3 linked regions of the Lepisosteus oculatus genome follow. The protein of the gene in region 2 binds, or shares a complex with, the protein of the main gene of each other region. Links are inferred from orthologs where the notes say so. Each region holds a gene or a part of one and is shown on either strand. Other genes may lie near its edges.

Region 1 (7,896 bases), on a different chromosome or scaffold from region 2:
AATTTCCATCAAATCAGAAGATAAAAATAGTTTATAATGATGCAATATTCGGAAGACCAAGTGCTTTTTAGTGCATATTATTTCATTGCGTGGAATATGCAGAACACAATTAAGCATAAATACGCACCGTTTCAAAGCAAAACCAATCCACATCCTCTTTTCTTTAGTCCGTTGAGTGAAAATAACCGTCTTACAGTATTGTTTCAGTGCTACTGGATTGGTCTTCAGCCCACTTCGGCTGCAACAGCATTCCACACTTTGAACACAGAGCTCAGAGCTCCTTCCTCCAGGTTTTTCGAATTAAACACAAAAACACAACAAAGCAAATAATCCCTGGTGTAAAATGAGAGTTTAGTGGGCAGTGAATGTGTCAGAAATGAAAGGGTGTGATAAAACACGGAGAATGACCACTTCACTGTGCGCAACATGACACAGACTGAAGAAATATACTGGCTGCAAGATGTTACTTTTAATAAACTGTCAAACAAGAATCATTAAAAGGAGCAAATCTGTTTTGTCCATTAATGTAAAGTAGACAAACCCTCAGACGGGTTAACACTATGCAGCCAGACTGGGCTTCTGTTCAATCCCTGCTTTTTACTTGTTTTTTTTTATTTTATTTCTTGTAACTACCTGTACATCTTCTCAAATGTGAGGTGTTTTGTTTTATTGTGTTCACAGATGAAGTTCACATTCATGAGTTCATCACATGCCCAAAAGGCTTTTCCACCAGGCTGCCTTGGACTTGTTCAGGTAAAGTTGTTCTTTAAAATATTCCAGGGGGTTGAAACGGGTCAGTTATTACAGAACCCTTCAAAGACCATCAACCATCAAAGACCAATCCCACTGCGCATGCTGGTGAAAAACTTAACCGATGTGCAGGAACGAACTAGGGATATTTTAGTAATACAGCCCAGTGTGCAATGGACAACACCATACTGCCACATTAAAAACACATTCGTTAAAATTCCGAAACATTCCAAATTATTCTCTGTATTTACATGGGGAGAAAAGAAAGGAAATCCATTGGTGTCCTAAAACAACAGGAATGATCAGAGGAGTTAATTATGGTACAGTGTGGGCCCTATTTTTTTGTTGTTGCTGTTGAAAGATAAAATCCCAGCTAATGTTAATGAAAGCTGACATGCACATTCAAAGTGATAAACAAGCTTTCTCTGTCTCACACCTAAGCTATCCGTTTCAAACCAAGGAGGGCAGACGCTGGGAGATAAAAATAAAATTTCAAACAGGAAAAGCTCGGCTGAAATAGACAGCTTGCCTGTCTATTTTACCGGTGGTGTTGTCTTATCGTTATAATATATTATGACACACACAGAAGAGAACCACGGCCCCATAAAAACTGTTCTGGCAGATTAAGGTAAATCAAAGGCCTGGAAAAATCATTTCTTTAAGGAGCCAAAAATAAAAACAAGCTAGAAACAGACATTTGCAAAGGCGATTGATGAATCGGGCGAGTTCTGAATTATGTACCCTTTTCAGCACCTTGCTTAAAAGCAGATATACAGCACATGTGCATGTGAGGCCTATTTCTGTGCTCTTTCCAAGATGCAGGTTTTGAAGCACGGACACTTACCTGCATCCATTAGGCCAATAATTAGCTTGATTGGCTCGTTAAGAGCCGGGTTGGACTGAAGACCTCCAGACGTACTGTAGCATGATGGGAACCATACTGGGCCGTGTAAGACGCCTGGTCTAACACCTGTGGGGACTGGAGAGAGCTGTCATGCACTCTCCCGAGCCCTGCAAGGCTACCACGAGCGGACCGCCGCCCGCGCGTGGGTTGAGCGGAGTGACCGCCGACGTCAGGGGCTAACGCCGGGCGCGCTCGCGGCCGTCAGAGGACCGAACCCCTCTGCGCGCCACACGCGCCCTCCTCCGCCAGCGACACCCGGGCTGCGCTTTCCAGCCCATCTCGTCTTTTTTCCCCATTTTTCCTTCTCAGCGGAGCCTTGGTTTTGCTTTTACAGGGAGGAAAGCGCTAGAAATCGTCTTTTTAAAATAATAGTTTAAAGCGTAAACGAGAGCCGTCGTGTTATTGAAACGGCATCTTATCCGAAGGAGGTTGTAACGTATAAAACGCCAAATTACTGTGACAGACTCCTCACTCCTCTTTAAAAACCGACTCGGAAACAGGACAGCTATAAGGTGGTCAGGCTGCTCCCGCTCCTGTAGCTCCAGATTGTCAAAACGGTATGTTGTTCGTGAAGTACCAATATTAATCAAACACTTCCATTTCACATGAACTGATTCATTAAACACAATTCTGCTGCCTTGTTTTAAAGTGGAATGAAAGTCACCCCACCCTATATATATGTAGAAATAAACGCTTTAATTTTTTAGACTTAAATAAGGTCAGCGCAACAACCGAACTGAAGAGAATATCAGCTATCTAATCACAACTACAAGCAGACTCCTGTGAAAAAAAACATTTTCGACGTATTGTTAAATATAACGGTGTGTTTGAAGCGTGTTCAGCGTTTTATCCGTATGAATGGTGATGATGGGGGCAATATTGGAATATCTACTGAAGTTTCCTTCACTCGTTTATGGTTTAGCAAATGACTGGGTTCGTTGCCGTGTGTACATTCAGATTTATTGCCTACATATTACATCTTAATTCTTCTGCAAACAAAAAATAATACCGTTTGCCCTATGTAGTACACCATCATTGAGTGGTTTCTCACTTTAGTTAGATTCAAAGGAGAAAGGCATTCAAAATGCGACACAATTTCATTAGTTTACAGTCTTGGTTTTATATGTTTGTTTTTTTACCTGGAATTTCCTACCATATCGTAAAAAATAAAAAAAGGGTTTATCTTACCTGTGAGCTAGGATTATCAAAAATGTCCATTTGAATCTCCTGTGTAGAAGTAGAAGGCGTCCTGGACATACTACTTTTCTGTACCATTGAATTTTTGTTATTGTATTGTTAATATTCACAGTTTAGTCATTTTTAGCGGGTGGAAATGAACAATTCTTTTTTTTTCTCTCCGATATCCTGCTCAGTGTATCCTCCCGACAGCGACAGACAGCTGTGCGTCGCCTGCTCGCTCGCTCTCCCCGAGCACAGACAATGAGCCCCAGCATCCAGCTGCTGAACCCCTCGGCCCCGCCCACCTCCGGCTCTACCCGCCCCTCTCAGCCTACCTCCGCCAATCACGGCTGGACAAGCTGCACACTGCCGCGCAGCGATTGGCTGCCACAACTATCATGGGTGTTAATAACGCCACACGGGGGGAGGGGGCGTGGCTTTTCTAGTGTGCCCCTCCCCCGACCTCTCCACCTATGAAGGAGCAAATGTCTCTTCTAAGCAGGTGCCCGGGTAGCTGGGTTCACTGTATTTGGGGGAAAAAACTGCAGTTTCAAAAAACATCAATTCGGAAAAAAGAGGGGTACACTCAACAGCTCTCGCAGTCTATTTTACGACTGTAGTAAGGATTTTGAGGAGGCGCCCGTGTATGATTATAAAAGAAGGCTACAGCGACTTGTTTTTTTAATTATATGTGTGACTTTCCCAAAGATGCCGCTGACTGGAAGGTTCCGACGATTGCGAATACAGCATCTTGCCTCTCACTCTCCTGTCTGCCGCCTTTCCTTTTCCTCGTTCTCTGTTGAGTGGGTGGGTGGCGAAAAAAAAAAAAGCAGGCGAAGCTGAGGTTGTGAAAAGACATTTAAAAATAGGTTAAAAAAAAAACAGAAGCCGAGCTTCGAGGGGTGATAAAATTACCCAAGGAGAAGGATGCTGTCGCCGGAGTTTGTTTCTCAGTCTTGGAGCGTGTTTTACCACAGCCCTCACAGTCTGGCAGCACGGAGAGGAAGTTCAGTGTCTTCTAAGGGAGCAGCCGACGGTATCTAATAAGCCCCCTTTACAGACGCTGGAACATTTCACGCCCCGAGGCGGGTGCCTGGGTCTGTCCGACTTGTAGCTGTTATCGTGTTATGAAGTTACTGATACTTGCTAAAATAACGGGTTTGTCAAGTCCGATGAGAGACGGCCGTCTCTATACTCGTTGCTTTTAATTCGAGTTCCGTAACGACCGATGCTTCTCTGGAAAGAGAGGCGACACAGCCGAAGTATAGAAAAACAAGATTCCCCGGCTTTCCTTCTTTAATTTTATAGATTAAATCATTGTCCTTTATTTGAACCGCGTACGTGGGAGGTGTCGGTCCCGGTAGCCCGGCGGGTGAACTTCACCCTGTCAAACAACTTCAAACTTTCCTTTATTAAACAATATACATCCTTATCATTAGTGTTGTCATAGCATGTGACTCTCACTTCCTCCCTTTGTCGGCTGATATTCTGAGAGAATCGTGCACTGGGGGAGTCGTGAGCAATCATTAGCCCCAAAACTAATGTTCTATTTCAACCCGAATTTGATCATGTTCAGTAGCACATTGGAGATGCTTGGGAACTGGACTGTAACTGGACATTACCTGCATCATATCGCAAAAAGACGATACAATATAGCCTCAGGACAGGAAAACCGTTGAGAAGCATTTCAGCCTGACCTGCAGCACAGCCTGGTACCCTTTGCACGGCACTGCTCTGTCCGCATCAACAAAACTAAACCCCGCTAAGCTTTCACTGCACATACAAAAGGAAGCCTTATTTTAAAATAGTCCTGCTCAGTTAGTGAGGAACTGGAGAGACCGGCCGGAGTTAAATGAAAGGCACAAGATTGCTTGTCCCTTGTAAACTGGAATTTCCTATCAAGTGTGAGTTCCTTAGCAACTGCCTAGATAGGTTCAGGGCTGCCTCCGTTTGCTGACAGTATCAAAACTGGAGATTTTTATACCCTGTACATAAATCCCTCCCTCCGCCCCTGATTTCACCGCCTTCCCTCGGCAGTTGTGTAAGATGCACACCAAACGGCAGACGAGAGTCACACGTACTCGTGTAGTCCGTGCCTGCTTTGCGATATTCCACGCTCATTCCACCCCCCACACACACACACTTTTCACTCCTGGCAGCTGATGTCGCTCCCTGCCGCCTGTGGGTTTCAAGAGCTCAGAGGCTGGACGTCGTCGCCCGGTGCGCTGAGTGCTGGACTGTGCTGTACCGACGGGCCCGGCACACACACACACACGCGCGCCCTCCCCGCACCGTGAGCTCGCTGTCACCATAGCAACGCAACCTGCAGAGGCGAGCCAGCCGAGCCCCGCAGCGAGCGTGCGCGCCCGCTGCCGCTACAGGAGTTCGCTCGCTCGCTCGCTCTGCGCGCTCCGGCAGGCGTGCTCCGCTTGACCCCGCCCCCGCCCAACGAACAAAAAATGCAACGGACTCATCTCCAGAAAAGACCACGTAGTCAGATACAGTAGCTGGCCGGTGGGGGCCTGAGGGATGAAGGGAGGGGCTGCATGAGTTTGGAGTAAACGGACACACCATCAATAGCTTCCCCTGGGTGCAAGCGAGCGCCTTACTCCTGTCCTGGAGTCCTTGCACTGGCTTCCTGTCAGGCTTGGCTTGGCACCTCAGTTCGCGTTAGAGTTGTGATCTCACACTCCCCTCCACCTGCGTTCGGCCGACTCTGCTCTCCTGTTTGTCCCCCAAGCCCGTCTGCACTCTGTGGGTGACAGGAGACTCTCCAGTTATGCCCCAAAGCTGGGGAATTCTATCCCTAACTATATCCTCAGCTCTTTCAAATCCAGACTCAAATCCTTCTTCTTTAGAAGAATCTTTACCTAACTGGATCTGTGTCTGCCCCCTTTGCTTTCCTACTGTATTCCAAACCCTTATTGCGTCGAAGCATTCAGTCAAAGTCCAACAGATCACAGAACAGCTCCTACCTTCAGGCAATCAGACTGCTACACAGCCAAGCTGCAGTGACCTTCGGCAACCACCCTGACGATCACTGCTAACTGGTCAGGCTACATGGACATCCAGTTTGAAATCCAGTTAACACTGCATGTTGCACTATTTGGACATGATGTATTGCATACGCCCTGGACATGTAGCAGAGCTATTTAAATTGAGTTTCATTTCATTCTATTTTCATTGCGCTATTATTAGGTAACATTATTTTGTAACTTTTAATTTTGTGATTTTTATTTGTATTTCCCCTTGCAGAAAAGACATTTCATTGGCAGCAACTACTGCTGCACGCTGTACTGTTGTGCTTTTGATAAACAAACTTTGATTGATTGATTCATTGTGCAATTCCGACGTCTCCCCTCATTGTGGGTTTTTTTTCTTACTGTAAAGCGATTTGACAAGCCACTTTTAAAGGCATTATCGAAAATAGATAATTATTATTATTATTATTATTATTATTATTATAACAACCCCAGCAGCTCTTGCAGCTGTGGGTGTGGGGCTCCGGGCCACGATCTTGAAGGACCCACATGCTTCACAAGACCACTTGGAGGTACCGACACGGTGCCGGTTCCGTTTAGGAAAAGACTAATGTGTCAAAGGTTACCGAGAGGAATTCGGCACATCTGGAATTGGTATCTAATTGATTAAAGGATCGAATCCAGAGGTTTCTTGAAATGATAATAATAGTCAACTTCACTGTTTATAGCGGCTTCAGTAGTAGCTTCTCAAAGCGCTTTCCAGTTAAAAGAGAAAAGCTCACGAGGAAAGGAGAGAACAGAATGAGCACAATCGAAAACAAGGGCTTACAATGCAGTAGAGGATGAAAGTACAGACGCCGGCACTAACTGAATAAATGAACTTCTTAAGAAGAAGGATTTGAGTGGGGAATGAATGCGCTCGGGGAAGGTGCTCTTCCGCTATCCTCGAGGACTGAGGTCCGGAGTTTTGGGGCGCCGCAGGAGAGATGAACTTCGAAAGAACCCCGAGAAGCGGCTCCAAGCACGTGGCTGGGTTGCTTTCTCCCATCAGCCTTTGTGTCAAGGGTTTTCTCCATCTTCTATCACTTGGGCCTCAGTCTTCACCCGCGTCCTCCAGTTCCTAACCTCACAGCTGGATCTGAGCGAGGCGGCAGGGGGGGTGTTTCATAAATACTCGAGTCCCTTCCCCTCGTCGTTTTCCCTTTTCGGAACTTAAACTCTGTTTTCGGTGCACTAGCTTACTAACTACGTCAGAATCCAGATAACTACCGCACTAATTCTATCACTCCAATCCGAGCATTTGTTCGGCTTATCTAGTTTTGCTGCCAAGAACTACAAACAATTACGTGAGACCATAATTGAGGCGTGGGGGTATAGCTCAGTGGTAGAGCATTTGACTGCAGATCAAGAGGTCCCCGGTTCAAATCCGGGTGCCCCCTGTGTCCTGATTTTCTACGTACTTCTTTTGTCTCTTTCCCCACCTATTAATACCATGTTGACAACACCAGACCTTGATGAATTATCCTTTTATTGCAACGAGGAAGTGCAAATAATTTGATCACACATAAAACACTGCAGCGAGACGAGATACCTGTACAGGTGACAAACCACTCTAGCACTGTGGGGGTATAGCTCAGGGGTAGAGCATTTGACTGCAGATCAAGAGGTCCCCGGTTCAAATCCGGGTGCCCCCTGTGTCCTGGTTTTCTTTTTTTGCTCATCTGGGTGTCTCTTGTTTCCGACCTATGAAAACCTTGCTGGCAAACTCAGTTTTTAATGAGTTGTCACTTCATGGTCACGAGGTGCTGCAAATGATATGATCCCACCTAAACCACCGTGCAGGCAGGTAGTGGACACCTGTACAGGTGAATTCACACCGACAGGTGACATAATATCCGAGAGCCTGTGGGGGTATAGCTCAGTGGTAGAGCATTTGACTGCAGATCAAGAGGTCCCCGGTTCAAATCCGGGTGCCCCCTCAACAGTTCTTAGTTTTATGTTGTTAAGTATCAATTCGCACTTGACAACGCCAATTGTTTCGTGAGTACTTGCCACATTTCAAGTCAAGAGTTGTAAATAATA
Region 2 (7,652 bases):
GTCACTCACACTCAGAGCACCACCACCACGCCCACCACCGCTGCCACCCCCCTGCTGGACCCGGAGACACTCTTGCTCATGTGCCCTTCCTTCTGTACCCGGCCAACATGGACCCCAGCTACTATGAGGCGTCCTACGGGGGTGCCTTGTTCCCCTACGTGCCTTTCCACGGACACTTCGGGGTGTACGACTGCCCCTTCGAGCCCGCCTTCATCCAGAAGCGCAACGAGCGCGAGAGGCAGCGCGTCAAGTGCGTCAATGAGGGCTATGCCAGGCTGAGGGACCACCTGCCCGGCGCCGTGTCCGAGAAGCGGCTGAGCAAGGTGGAGACGCTGCGGGCCGCCATCCGCTACATCAAGTACCTGCAGGATCTGGTGAGCCGGGGGGCCCAGGCGGGCGCCGAAGCAGAGGAGAGGAGCGGCAAGGGCCCCAGAAATGCCACTCCCACCCCGGCCGAGGCAGGCGTCAAGAGGGACTGCAACAGCGACGGGGAATCCCAGAATTCCTCCTCCTCCGACTCTCCGTACTGCGAGTCCGAGGAGTCGCTGAGCTAGAGAGGGCCGGGCCCTGACTGCAGGCTTGAGGCCTGAAGGCGGAGTAGGGGGAGAACAGGCCCGCCTGAAGCTGCTAGAGACGAACCAGCTCTGACTGTGGCGGGATGCAGACCGACAAGCCATAACACGGGCAGAGGGATAAAACTACCACAAATTAATGAGGGTTTCCTAATCCTGTTCCTGGAGTGTCCCTCTCACTCCTGGTTTTTGATCCAACCGATTTCTTAATTAGATAAAGTAGTTGAACATAAATCAATCATCCGCTTGATTTTAACTGTTTTTGATGCCCATCTTGATTTGAGAAATACTCTCCTTTCTGTGTATTATTTCCATGAAATGTGGCAAATGTGATACGTCAACAATTTAGAATTACTGCTCAACCACAGTGGTCTAAATAACTCCTGATAGATGAGCAATTAAAGATATACAGAAACAAGTGGCAATGACACTCTCTCATTGTAACCATTCTTAGCGATGTGTCGACTCTGTTTGAATGCCAGCTGGTCAGGACCTCTACAGGAGGGGCTCATGCTACCTTTTAACCCCCAGCTATGATGCAGGGAGTGGCATGCTCAAGGGGGAAACCTTTGGGCTCATGAGTGGCAGGCTGTTGGTTTGAGTCCCCACATGACACCCTGCTGTTCTAGAGAGGTGAGTGTTGCTGGGGCTGATCCCTGCAACAGACCAGCATCCCTTCTCGGTGGGTGGGTCCTAACTAGTCCATGACGTTGTGGAAACCAGGATGAGCACTGGACCAATGAATGAGCAGCTCTGGTAAGGTCTTTATCCTTGTCAATCGTCTAACTAAAGGTTCAGCACATTGACAACCAAAACAAAAGTCAGGGTACTCTGATTTTAAAAATCCCAATGAGGCTGGCATCATCCACCACACAGAACCAGAAGCTATCAAGTTCTTGAGCATCACAACCCACTCCAAGATCTATGTGAGTCATGGAAGGCACGTCCATTCGATATTTCAATAGATCAGTGTAATCCCGAGGTTCAGACAACATGGACTGTGGACATCACTGGTTTCAAATTTCTTCTCACATTTCAGTTTAATACAGCACCCCAGACAACTGGATTGCAAAAGTCAAGGCTGACTTCAGAGACTTTGTGGGCCACAGGTTTTTTGGTCATTCCATTCATAACAGTCCCTGAGCGATATTGAAAGCTAAAACATTTTAGGAAGCAGAAGTATTTCAACTGTAGTTTTTAACACTGCTCATAGTGTCTTAGGGGTGGAGAGATCATGACTGAAGGTAAGTTTAGGTAAGACATGAAGGGAAAAATTAAATCACACATCTGTCATAAATCTAAAAACCATTTACAGCCTTTCTGTAGTGCTTGATGATGTCTCCAAACTACTTTAATGAACTGCATTGAACCTTTTCCTGCAGACTGTATTTGCTGAGCTGTAAAAAACATGACACTGTGTTCTTATACGTTTCTGAAAAAAAATGTAATTTTACTTGAAATTACCCAATTTAGTTTTCTTAGGAAAGAGTTTTAATTTTTGAGCTAGTTTAAGCTCAGAAACACGTATGTATTATAATGCTATGATGTGACAGTTTGTCTATAAGATGATAGACCGTAAACAGTAATTCAGCTGGAACATTTACAGAACCTGGGACAAAACAGAGACTTCCAGAAAGAAATGTAAAGGTGCTTGCCTTTCCTGGCCTTTACAGACATAGTAAGGCGGAATGTGGATCTATAACTGTTGTTCCCAATCCTGGTCCTGGTGACCATACACATCTCCTGGTTTTCATTCCAGCCCACCCGAATTGGATAATAATTGAAGCCTTAGTTGATATACAGTAATCCAAGTCACAAGTTTCAGATTTTAATTCACTTCCAAATATACCTATAATGGTAAGGTAGAATGGTACCTTAATTCATGGTTGATGTTATTGCTAGTGAAATGGTTTTGGAGACTTTCTGTAAATCAAAGTGCGAATCCCCTTCTCAGCAACTGCCCTTGATGTTTCAAGGTCATCTGTGACTGCAAAACCACTGAGGTCTTTCCTGTTTGACCATCCTTACACAGTTCATACCAAATAGCAGGATTAGTGTTGTGTGTGTTTGTGATCATCTTTCAATCTTGATCTTATTGCCATGTTGACAGCACTGTACCACTAGAGCCGTGTGTCAAAGTTTGTTCTTTAAATGACAGTTTGTAACCAGTTTTACTGATACTGCTTTGCACTTTATCCTAGACTCTGTGTAGCACCCTTCAACTTGTAAGAGGCATTAGACCCTAGCCCAACAATGATGTATGATGGAAAACTTTCTAATAAAAAGTAAAAATGAAAACTGTGTGTTTGTGCTTCAAGGAACATTTATTTTATTTTTTTTTTCAAAGAGATGCTTCACCATGATTATAGTTCTTTTAAATATGACTACCATCTTGATATACTGTGTTTAGCTCTTTGATTACTACAGCAATTAATGCATTTTTTGCTACTAATGCATAAGTACATACATATAGTTCTACTGGACACACACTGTTTTTGATCTGTCAGATTTACACAACCTAATTATGTGATGCACAGTTATAAACTCAATCCCAGTTCTGGAGGGAAACTGTTTCTGCAATTTAACACCTTTCCCCAGTTTTTCCTGCTGCTGGACTGCATCTCTCCAGTACTGGAGCAATGAACTTTTGTATAGGCCGTACCTGATTAGTTTAACACTTTTCAAAGATCTTCAGCCACTGGTGGTTTTAGGAATCCTAAGAATGTAGCACTCAGAAACTAGAGCTGTCCCTCTCTAGTGCAGTATCTCTAGTACTGCCTCACTTGCACATCCCTGTGAACCACTAGGTGGAGCCATTGCACAGTCAGAGACTCTTCACCTGCACATTCCACCTGGACCATAAGGACTGTAAGTGAAGTCAGTACCCTGATGTTTCATAAACTGCAAATTTATTTTTTTATATTACCGATGTTAAATGACTGTTCTGCTTATATGAATTTATATAAGCATTCCATTGCACTTAAAAGCATTTCATGCATTTGACAAATAAACTGAACTCTGATTTATGCAACATTTATACTTTCCGAAATAAGACTGAAATAGCATAATACATTGTTAGTTACAGAATGCAACACTGCAGGGAATACCAGCAACACAAGCGTGACCACATGAATTAGTGTTATCATCATTAAGAAATCTGTAGTTTGTTTGGGCTCTGGTTATTATCAGATGGCAGCCAGGCAGTGTCATTAGAAAACTTCTGGTTGAGGCCTCACAGGAGCTCTCAGTGTTGTAGGTTTAATAAATGCATACCTCTATCATTGTTAAAGATTAAAAAATAATTACCGGATTCTATATTGAAGATTAATTTTGTCTAGTTTTGTTGGAACACTTCATCACAAAACCAAGGTTTAAATGACCAACTTTGAAAAAGCTGTAAACTGGATTAGCTGATTTGGGAGTCTTGAAATGGAGCACACGATTTTGGCAAATTTGCAGAACCGTATATTAGCACAGCAGTTTGTTGTGCTCAGGAGGAGTAAATGTTTAAATAAAGCTCCTGAAACTCGCTTCCACGCTTCGTCGCTTCTCGGTGTGCCACCTAAAACTCCCTGCCACCCCACTCTGCTGTCTCGCTAACAGGCCTGTTATAAACACTCCCACCATCTGCACTGTGTCACTGAAGACAGGCATCGAAACGTGCCGTCCCCTCCGCTGCTGCTGTTTAACAGCTCTCAGCATGCCTCCCCTTCTCCTTTCCCCCAGCTCCACTTCCTCCCCCCTCGCCCTCCCGGCTCTGCTCCGAGAGCTCGGAGCTACAAGTGGGATGAGCCGACGACAGCTGCACTTCTTTTTCCTACTTTTCTGCTGCCTCAGGGCCCACAGGCTATTCGGCGGCCCCTGCGCCTCTCTGCCTCCCTGCTCTGCTTACGCTGCCCCATCGCCACCCCACCCACCCCCCACTGCCGAGACATCGCTCACAGTCTATATTTAAACCATGCTGGCCCGGCTCAGGCCGCAGAGGCAACTGCTCCTCCTGCTGCTTTCTGCCTGGTGTAGTTTTACCCTCTGAGAAACCCAGCTCAGCAGAAAGGCACTCCACTCTCCGCTGAGCGAGAGAGAGTGAGAGGGAGAGCAGGCGGAGGCGAGGGGGGGTGTGTGTGTGAGTGTGTGCCTGCTGGTCCCGGGAAGGAAGGAGAAAAATAAAGGAGTGAGGGGGAACAGGCGAACCCGGGCTTACCAGGATTACAGCGGGAAGGATTACTGGGTCCTCGCCTCACACACCGTCACCGTCGGGACACGGCTCTTGGTCTGCCCCCAGGATGGCTACGGCGGAGTCCAACGCGGTGGGACCTGCCGCCTCCATCATCATGGACAGCGAGACCCTGAGGAGAAAGCAGAAGGAGAAACTGAAGAAACTTCAAGCCACCGGCGGCAACCCCCGGCCCCCGCGCTCGCTGTGCTGCCTGACCCTGAAGAACCCCTTCCGCAAAGCCTGCATCAGCATCGTGGAGTGGAAGTATCCTTCGGGGCTCGAGCTCGGCGAGGCGCGTGGACGGCCAGCTCGGGGGCCAGCTGAGCAAAAGAGAGGCCAGCGGCTAAGAGCATGGCCAGCCCTCAAACCGGAATGAAAAGTCAGTAAGTCACTCTGAGGGCAGGAAGCTACAGATTGTTGGTAGTTGGGACTGCTGTCTTTGTCATGTCTTCATTTATGCAACGGGAAACTTTGTGTTTGGCTAGTCAAAGAAAGCAGGGCTGGCTCTCTCTAGCTGTGTTTATGAGGAGCCCTACACCCTTGGATTTAAAAGGGTTGATCAGTTTCTTCACATGGTCATGAGTTGTTTATATGGCGTTGCGCAGATTCAACTTCCCAATAATCTTACAGCAAAGGGCTTTTGTATTAAAGAGAAAAAATAACATGAGACAACGCTGGCTTTTGAATAGTTCATAGTCTATACCTGTATTCCAAGTGCAGTTCATAGACAATTGTTCATATTTTTCCATCTTTAAATGGCTGGATTTGGAACTGTGACCAAAAGAAAGATTCTTCTGTTAAGTAGCTTTTTCCGAAATTTGGTTTGGAAAGTTCGCGATTAATCATGGGACAGGACACCGGCGTTCTCAGTGGAGTTGCTTCTCATTTCTAGATGCAGAGATATTTCTGGATACATTACGACCTACAAGTGTGAGCAGTTTAAAACCAGTCAGGCACAAGGATTATTCATTTGTTAGCACAGGCTTAAGAAAGCAGTTTTGGTTCTGAGAGGTTTTCAGTTTGGCAGTGGGACATGTTTACTGCTTCAAGAGTCTTATGTTAGCGAAGGCGCATAATGTTCCTAAAATGTGAATCGAGACTTGAGACCTTTCTTCTTGTTGGTAAAGATGAAAATTCTAGTTCTTACTCCTGGGTTCACTGATTAATGTCAAAACTTAAAAAAAAAACAATTATATTCACCCTGGGTCAAAGGTTAGGTTAACCCATAGGCACTTCCAGAAACTGAATAATTTTCTAGAAACATCAGAGGAGAGAGCCTTTTGAAAACAGCATTTTTCCAAGATGGGATAATGCGCTTGGCAGCTAGTCAAGGAGCCAAATACGGGAGAAACGTGCTCCCAATGATCGAAGCTGATGATAGAAATTTAGGTGTTTTTTTAATGCATATATATTTAAACGACACAATGATATTCTGGGGCACTGCAGCTGTTGGCTCGCGTCACAGGCTAAAAACAGACACCACTCTCTGCTGGCAGGGGGAATTTTAATTCCAGCACCCCCTTCTGGCTGAAAGGGAGACCAGTTGAGCGGCCCCTGTAGTATGAAAACACTGACACCTGTAGTGGTCCAAATGACTGAGTAACTTGGGAGAGGGCCAAGGTTCCACTACCAAAGCCTTGCAGCGGCAAGGTGTCTTGAACTGTAAATCAGGCGTGATCAAGGTGTCGGCCTCAAAGTGATTCATGGAGCTCCTGCATCCTGCGCATTTGTGCATGTCAGGATGCCTTCAATAGACATCAATTTGGATGGCACAGTTTCACAAAGCATCGTTCCCTATAGTTTACATTGAAATGAAAGTTCAAGACCTTCTGAGTTTGCTTAAGAAAAGCCCCTCTTGTGGCACCGCAGAGATTCGATAGTCATGCCACAAGACAACGACCCATCTCCCCATTACATAATGACTGAAATAGTAGAAATGTCTAAACATCCACCAACAAGAGAACATAAGAAAAGTTACAAATGACGGTTAATCAATTCCACACAATTGACTTAAGAGGTATTGAGTCATAGTCCCACAGACGACAGCACTGCACCAAAGTCAAACACCTTGCAATACAACACAGTAAGCTTGAAGCACCACAGTGATGTGATGGTAAAACCTGCTGCCTCACAGATCTTTGTTCTTTGTTCTTTGTTGGCTTCATTGTTGCCTGGGGGGCTTTTTGTGTGGAGTTCATATGTTCCATCCATGTCCACACAGGTTTTCTCCCACAATCCAAAGCCATGATATTGAGGTTACTATCTCTAACTTTCTCACTTGCTCACATGTGTGTGAGCCTTGCCCCTTGTACCTGCCCTCAGCACAAAGCAGTTACTCATAATGGATGGATAAACTATGTGTCTCAATGCTTAAACTTGTAATGCTATTTAACACTTAACCTCAATGTCTTTAGTAAGTGTTAAGATGTTCTAGAGCTGGGGTCTCAAACTCAATACCTGGAGAGTCTAGTGTCTTCTGGATTTTGTCCCACCCATGTTCTCGGTTACATAATTGGTGTAATTGTTGTATTAGCTACAAAAATGTAATGCTTTTCAACCAGGGTAGGAAGTGTTTTATAAGTAACCTTTAAGCAAAGTGATTGGAGAATTGATAGCTTGCGTAATCAACTGTAAAACACTCTATGAAAAATTTGTATAGGTCCAATTTAGAAATAATTAGGTTAATTGTTTGAATGACTAATTAGATTGGAAAAATCAGAGACCTGAGTTCTAGAGAATCGTCTAGTTTAAGGCAAAAGGCAAACATTTATGTCAGGACACATGACTATCAGCCCTCTAGAAGAGAAAGTGCATCGAGCCTGTTTTGATGTACAAGCTGCCACATCTCGCTGATGTCTGCTTTG
Region 3 (7,157 bases), on a different chromosome or scaffold from region 2:
GATAACCTTTCACACTCCACCTCAACAAATGTGCTCACTGGATTCTGGTCAGCTTTGTATCCCTGTGGTGTGCTGCCATACCTTGGGCAATAGTGCTTTCTATTGAGACTCTCAGTGTCAGCCTGTGGTCTGACTGCAGGTTGGAATTCTAGGAATTCTCATTCCTGGGTCCTTATTTCAGGCAGATGGCCAAGGAATAAGAGGCTGTCTACCCAGAGACATGAGCAGTAAATCTGCTGACTGCAGAAGACCCTTCAGCTACCCAAAAGAGAGAGGGGGGGTGAAATTGTCTATAGGAAAGCTGAAAGAAGGAGGTGGAGAGACGGAGGAAAAGCTCTTCTCCTGAGCTTGCAGAAGGCCCCGGGGGTTGCCTGTATATTCCAGGGTGCCCACATATAGACACAATCACAGGTCAGCACGGAGAGAACATGCACAGTATGGAATCAAGTTGAGGACTCAAGAACTACCAGGCAGCAGTAATTAACAATATACCACTGTGCCACCATAATGTGAAGACAGACAGGTAGTTCTTTGTTTATGTTCCCTTAATTTGCTTGTTTCCAATTTAGTGCTCCTTATAATATATTTCCTCATTTAGAACAGAATAACTCTTACTTTAACATGCTTGGCCACAAAGTCTTAGAGAGTGTATTCTGCGTGTACCCAGTATCGGCCTGTATGCGAAGGAACACATTTTCCCTAACTCACTCTTGCTGTTAGCGTTAAGTTGTGTTAAGGCGCTGTCAGAATCGTCATCCCTCCTCTTAAGGGCGCTCCGACCCTTTCGTATTTTAGTTCATTTCGTGCACCTGCCCCCTGTTTAGCCTGACACTATTTAAGCCTGGCGGTCTCACTAGTCCTGGCTCAGCACTGAGGGATGGATGCCCAGAAGCCCGCCTACCAGCAGCATCCTGACCATCTGAGTCCAGGGCTCAGAGCGCCTGGCCTCGTCACCCTGGTTTTATTCCCTGTTCCTGTTCCGGATCCCATTCCGGATTTTAACCTTGTTTGTCTCGGATGGATCTCCCAGTTCCTGGACTGTGCCCCAGATTCCCCCTTGGACTGTCTGGACTCGTTTGCCCATGCCACGCCCCCCGAGCGCCGGATCACTGTCGTCACGCTCTCCTGTCTGCCAACCCGTCCTAGCCTGCTGTACCTTCCCTGTTGTCCTTCTCCACTTACTTCCGGATTATACCGTCTGCACAGGGTCCTGAACTACGCCTCGCAGGGACGAGGGTTTAGCAAGCGTGCTATAGAAATGCTTGGTAAGGCGAATAACATTTTGATCAGAGCTCGTCCAATAATGTGGAAAAGCTGGCACTTATTTATGACGTTGAATAAATCAAATAAGCTTCCACCCCATTCACTACCCTCCCCTAACAACAGTCTTCACTTCATGTTTCATATGAAATTGATCGACATTAACGAACATTTCTTCCAAATGACTTTTAGTGCAACTCTATAAGCATCTTATATTGAAACATTTGCTTATTTTAGTTATTAAGGGGTTAAAATCTTTGGGTGAGGGTGAACCCCAGAATGCTTCCTCCCTATATACATTCATATTTATGTGAAACTGCTGTGGAATTCATTTTTAATTTACCCATTTCTGAACTGTGCGGCATTTTTCAGGAACGCATTCATTCACATGAATCAAGAACTACCCCTACTGCATTTTAACAGAGATTAAATGGTTCAAGTTGTCATTTGGATTTTTTTTATATTGCATCTCATAAATACAAAATATATATCCCACCAGCATTCCCCAGCTTCTGAATCCAATCTAACTGGGTTTTACCACTGTAATGCATTATGCATTGGGAACCCAGGCTCCAACCACAGTGTGATTACTGTACATAAGTGCTCTGTCTTGTGCACACCTGAGTCGCATATCATTTCAGATTTCATTACTAATCTCAAACAGAAACCTGTAAGTGCAGAAACACTTTGGCATCCCATGTTAAAATCCAAAAGCTCTATTTAAATTGTCACAGGAGTAATTGGGTCAGAAGACTAAGAAAGTAGAGCACAGCTGACAATTTATAAAAAGCACTTCACTACGGAGTGCCCTATGGAGAATATGCTGCAGACCGCGGAAGGCGTGAAGGGCCGCTTGACATTGAGCGAACAGGAAATGTGGAGGACGAAGGACACTGAAAGCAGGTTCGGTTCAGCTCCAGTTGTCCCTCGGAGCAAGAAGACCCTCTGTCTTCTCAGACCCACTCGTCTCTCAACGGCCATGAGTCAAGCCCTGGGGTCCAGAAAGTCAGGGCTCCAAACCCGAGGTGGCCCCCTGACCTCTCCTCACTCTGCAGGGGTCCCTGCGATGTGCTGGGTTAAGCAAGCCTGGGACAGGGTGCAGTCCTTCTTCACACTGGGCCAGGGGGAGCTGTAGGACAGTTTCCACGCACTCGCCACCACATTCCACCACGCTCTCTTCACTGCAATTAACCTGCTATCCCACCACGTCTCCCCTTCTGTTCTTCTTAAACCTTTCTACCTGCCCTCTCCATGCTCACCATTGAGTTCAACCCACCTGAGTTTAACCTTTTGCCGCCTGTTTGTCGCACTACTTTTTGGATAACGGACACTGCCTTCACCACCGACTACGGACCTGCCTCACCGACCGGATTCGGTGTTCGGACTCTGCTCTCTGGATAGCGGATCTCCGCCCTCCTTCCTGACCACAGCACTGCTTTCCGATTTGGACTTCGGTAATGGAACACGCACTCTCTCTCACTCCTGCCTCGCGCAGGGTCCGAATCAGCCCCACTGGTATTTGACACAGGTTCCATTCACCAACAATGGAGATGTCTCTTTAAGGGCTGTCATCTTGGTAGGGGAACCTCCCAGACCCCCAGCACCTCATAGCAGTCCTCTACGATTACAATGTCCACAGTTGTATGCTACTACACAGCAATTCCTAGGGTTTACGGAAAAGTGCTGGAGAGACAACTACTAGGATCAGAGGTTAGGGGCACCGGGATGATTTTGAATTTAACACATTCTAGAAGCCAACTTTCTTTTTTACTTACAATAGCAGTTACACAGACAGTCCTTTATCTAACATACTCACCGTGCGTACCAAAGTGTCTTAAACAGAGGCTCAGACTTTCCTGTTTCCCATTTATTTCTACAGCATGAATAGAAACAGCTCTACGTGATGCTATGCCAGAAACTATTTTATCACTGGTGTGACAAGGGTCACATCTTCCCCTTTCACTCCAATAACAACAAGGATGATATAAGGCCCATAGTTTCCCATCTGTTTATCCGTCAAACGTTAAGTGCCTGTAGATCGGAGATCTGAAATGTTCTGTTTAATGAGAAGCTAATTTATGGTAACAAATACACCTCCTGCATCTCTGAGAGCAATGACAGCACGTTTGCATGTCTGCGAAAACCAACAGCTGTTGTTTAGACACAGATTTCTCTGTATAAATAGTTTATAGTAGCATTTAAACTAAGTGCCTGGTGGGAATAAAGTTTAGATTAGGAATGTTAAGAATACTATGATGATGCAATTGAATAAAAGTTCAGTAAATGGGGACAAATCAAGACTGTGAACACAGACTGCACTCTTCAGAACAAAACAGAGCTTTTCACACATTCAGGTTATCCAAGCTATCCTCATAAAGCTCATCAGAAAATAAAATTCGAATGCAACTAAGAAATGCATTAAAAAACTATTATTCCCTTTGTTCCAAAAATTAAGGAGAGAGATATTGCAAAGTGATTTCAAGGAAGGAGAAAAGAAATTCAGACTCAGTCGTTTTCACTTTGCACTAACACAACAACACCAGGAAAATCGAGGCTTTATATTAACTGTAGAAAACTCAGCAACACACAGCAGAAACCTCAAAAACTATGCCCACACTCTTCTCGGTGATTAATGAAGTACTTGTAGTTTAGCAGACGGCCACAGCCCTGTGCTTAACGGGCATGCTGAGAAAACATAGAGACGAAACCTGATAAGTGGACATCCTGACAACCTGACTCACAGCTCACATTAATAGCAGCAGCTACCCGCCCATCACAGGCAGCCAGTGTGGTCATCAACTTTTCTGATATGCATCAACAGCTGTAGTCTGAACCACACTCCTCCTCACTCCATGAGGAGAGAGAGAGGAAAAGAAAACTAGGGCACTGTTTTCTGGCCACTTTTTTTTTTCCTCCCAACGAGCGACAGGGATTTGGAGTGGGCTGAAGCTGCGAGCAGAGGGGACGTGGGAGTGGAGGCTTAAGGAGAGGTCTGCAGAGTCCACAGGCAGAGCGGCGGAGGTGAGGCTGTGAGGCAAGAAAAAAAAACCCCCGCTCCAGTGAGAACCGACAAGCAGAGCCATGCTGGAGGACAAGACCACCAAGGTGAGGATAGCGTTCTTCGTCATCCTTGTCGGGATCTCCGCCATGTTCGCCGCCGTGACGACGGATCACTGGGCGGTTCTGAGCCCGCGGGTCGAGCGCCTCAACACGACGTGCGAAGCGGCTCACTTCGGACTCTGGAGGCTCTGTAAAAAGACCATCTACATGGAGGAGCCGGACCCTAGGGGCAAGGGCTGCGGGCCCATCAGTCTGCCTGGAGGTAAGACCCTTCCGTCTCTGAGCGCTCTGGGCCCCAGGCCCACCAGGGGTAACACCGAGGTGCGGGGCCGTGTGAAAGGACAGAGAGAGCGAGGGGCTCTAACCCAGCAGGGCTGCAGGGCTGCTCCAGGAGGAAGGCGCTGTTACAGCGTTAGTTTGGCAGGGTTGACAGATAAACATCTGGGCACCGCGCCTCTCCCTGTGGGTGTGCTCCTCGCGCCCCGGTCAGAGCCAGCTCGGGCGCTCAGGACCTGGAAACCTCGCTCACGCAGACAAGCGGGATCACTCACTACACCCGGAGTTCGAATTCAAATTCAAATTCCTCCAAGACCAGCTGCAGTACGTACAGTCACATACACTTTATACATAGAAGAGTTGTGGGTATTGTATATGTACATCTATCCATTAGCTTGTCTGTAGCCCAAAATGGGAAAACACTACGTTATTGAGAATACCGATCGGACGCACAGAATATTCAGATAATCACGGCAATGGCGAAAAACAGTCTTTAAAAATCAGCACTATTAATCCTTTTTAACAAAAAAAATGCTCCACGCACATTTTAATGAAACTAGTGTTCATGATTTAGACAAAACCAACATCCGTACAAACATGATTTATGCAACTTCAGCCTAACAAAAGAGCAGAGGTCTTCCCTGTTCTTCACACGTGTTGTGCTGTAACATCCCAAGAAAAGTCCTGCGATGACAACTCTGTGCCACCAGTCACAGACAAGCCAGCCCACTGGTCTGCTTGTTAGAAACTGAAACAGGCTCTTCTGCTGAAACAGCGTCTTTTTAACACAGACGGTAAGACAACTCACCACTGAGAGATTTCTGATAGAGAAGGAACCTTAATACCAGAAGAGCAGAGATTCATTTGATGCAAATCATAAAGCAACACACAACCCCAGCTCCTTTTCATCATGAACTACAAGAGTAGACATAGAAATGTTTTGCCTGAAAGATTTATTTGCAAAAGAAAAAAGAAAATGAGGCTCTTCATTGTCACAAGGGCCCCTTTAAATGCACAATTTATGTGCAGTGAACTGAAGCAAGTAATTGTCTGTGTCGGTATGTGTGTTATATGTTTGCAAAACAAGATGGCATGGTACCATGGAAGACAGAGCTCTTAAAAAGGAGCCTGTTTGTATATTTGGCTGACCTGGCTTCCAATATCTGGGTGAGATAGGAGCTGGGAGAGGTCTCTGTTTGCCTAAAAACACTATTTACAGTCACAGAGCAATAGGTCTCACTTTGCACACTTTTGTAGTAGTGCATCAAAAAAAGAATTATTGCATGAGCAATGGTAAATGTGCACCATTAACCCATCCGATTTGATTGGCAAACAATTGTCTAATAGCTTTTAAGAAAGAAAGAATGGCATTTGCTTTTCTCTCTTCTTCCCTAAGACTTAAGTCTATGGCGTTAAATGCCCCCTGGTTGAAAAAGACATGTCTTCATAAAGCAGGGTCTGTTAAAAAAGAGAAATGTGGCCTCAGTTTTTTTTTTTCATGAAGTGAAGCATTTAACCGCAGCACATATTTGGGAAAAGCTCTCTTCTGCCTCCAGCACTTACAGCACCTAGAGAAAAGCCCCCAAACCCAAGGTGGAAAGAAGAGGATCATAAGTGAATATTCAGTGAACTGTGAATATTGTGTCATTCAAAAAATGTTTAAAGATCAACCCTATGTTTCACTGTGTCTCACCTGGGCTGTTTCAAGTAAAGTTGCATTTTTTTTCTTTGAATTACTCGCATCCAGTACCTCAGCTACAACTCCACTGCAATTGCTTCCCGTTTCCCTGCTTGATAGGGCTGAGGGCTCTTCCTACAGCCGCCGCAGTGTGCCGAATCTGCAGCCGGCCAGCCCTCCCTCAGCGCAGAGCTCCCTCGCTGTGCGTTGAAAAAATGAAGTTAAAGGACATTACACGCACGAGTCTTGTGAGAGATCTGCACACAGAATCCCCTCACAAGTGGAACAGCCAAGGGCTGTGCAGAACAGCTCTGAACTCGTCGCCGCAGAGACAGAAAACCACAGACCCTCATGCTTCTGAGCGTTTCAAAGGCATCCTGCAGGTTCACAATGTGATTTTTCACAGCTTTCTAGCAAAACGGAGACTTCTGCCGTTACATGTTGTTACTAGTCCAATCCTTATCAAGCTATCCCAGTTTTGTGACCTGCTTTGCAACACATAAAAAACATAACGAAAGTCATTCAGCCCTTTTAGTTTGTTTTGGAGTGAGGACAACCTCTCTTTCTAGTGCCCTGCTTTGCCTGCTCCTTCGGTTTTTAATTTGCTTTCCGCAGTCTCCCTTCCTTTCATCGTACTCTGCCACTGGATTGTCTTTGGAGGGTTGAGAGTCTTCACTTTTCCGTTAGCGGCCTGGGGCAGCGCAGTGTGTCGGCTTGCTTAAGCTCGTTCAATGAAACAGACGCAGGGAGAAGCAGCGAGTAGAGACCGAAGAAAATGACAGTGGAACTGATTCAAAAAACCGCCCAATTTAATAAGACAGTGTTAATAAGACAAGGCAGGTGAAAAAGAACAGTTGGGGAAACAGAGAAGCTCTGCATGCTT

Evidence for each region. The genes of interacting proteins can lie anywhere in the genome.
Region 1: voltage-dependent L-type calcium channel subunit alpha-1S (region 2) and cacnb1 share a complex: the UniProt entries of both Homo sapiens proteins name them as parts of the calcium channel complex. The link is inferred for Lepisosteus oculatus from reciprocal best matches to the Homo sapiens genes CACNA1S and CACNB1.
Region 3: voltage-dependent L-type calcium channel subunit alpha-1S (region 2) and cacng1b share a complex: the UniProt entries of both Homo sapiens proteins name them as parts of the calcium channel complex. The link is inferred for Lepisosteus oculatus from reciprocal best matches to the Homo sapiens genes CACNA1S and CACNG1.

What each region holds. Positions count from the first base shown.
Region 1 is NC_090723.1:5,996,422-6,004,317, reverse strand, and holds the start of cacnb1 (voltage-dependent L-type calcium channel subunit beta-1), read right to left. Parts: upstream 3,073-7,896; 5' UTR 2,930-3,072; coding exon 2,843-2,929; intron 1-2,842. UniProt on the Homo sapiens protein: Regulatory subunit of L-type calcium channels. Regulates the activity of L-type calcium channels that contain CACNA1A as pore-forming subunit.
Region 2 is NC_090700.1:36,990,342-36,997,993, reverse strand, and holds the start of voltage-dependent L-type calcium channel subunit alpha-1S, read left to right. Parts: upstream 1-4,555; 5' UTR 4,556-4,855; coding exon 4,856-5,052; intron 5,053-7,652. Other genes in the region: achaete-scute homolog 5, read left to right, coding at 1-554. UniProt on the Homo sapiens protein: Pore-forming, alpha-1S subunit of the voltage-gated calcium channel that gives rise to L-type calcium currents in skeletal muscle.
Region 3 is NC_090704.1:45,909,714-45,916,870, reverse strand, and holds the start of cacng1b (voltage-dependent calcium channel gamma-1 subunit), read left to right. Parts: upstream 1-4,085; 5' UTR 4,086-4,341; coding exon 4,342-4,582; intron 4,583-7,157. UniProt on the Homo sapiens protein: Regulatory subunit of the voltage-gated calcium channel that gives rise to L-type calcium currents in skeletal muscle. Regulates channel inactivation kinetics.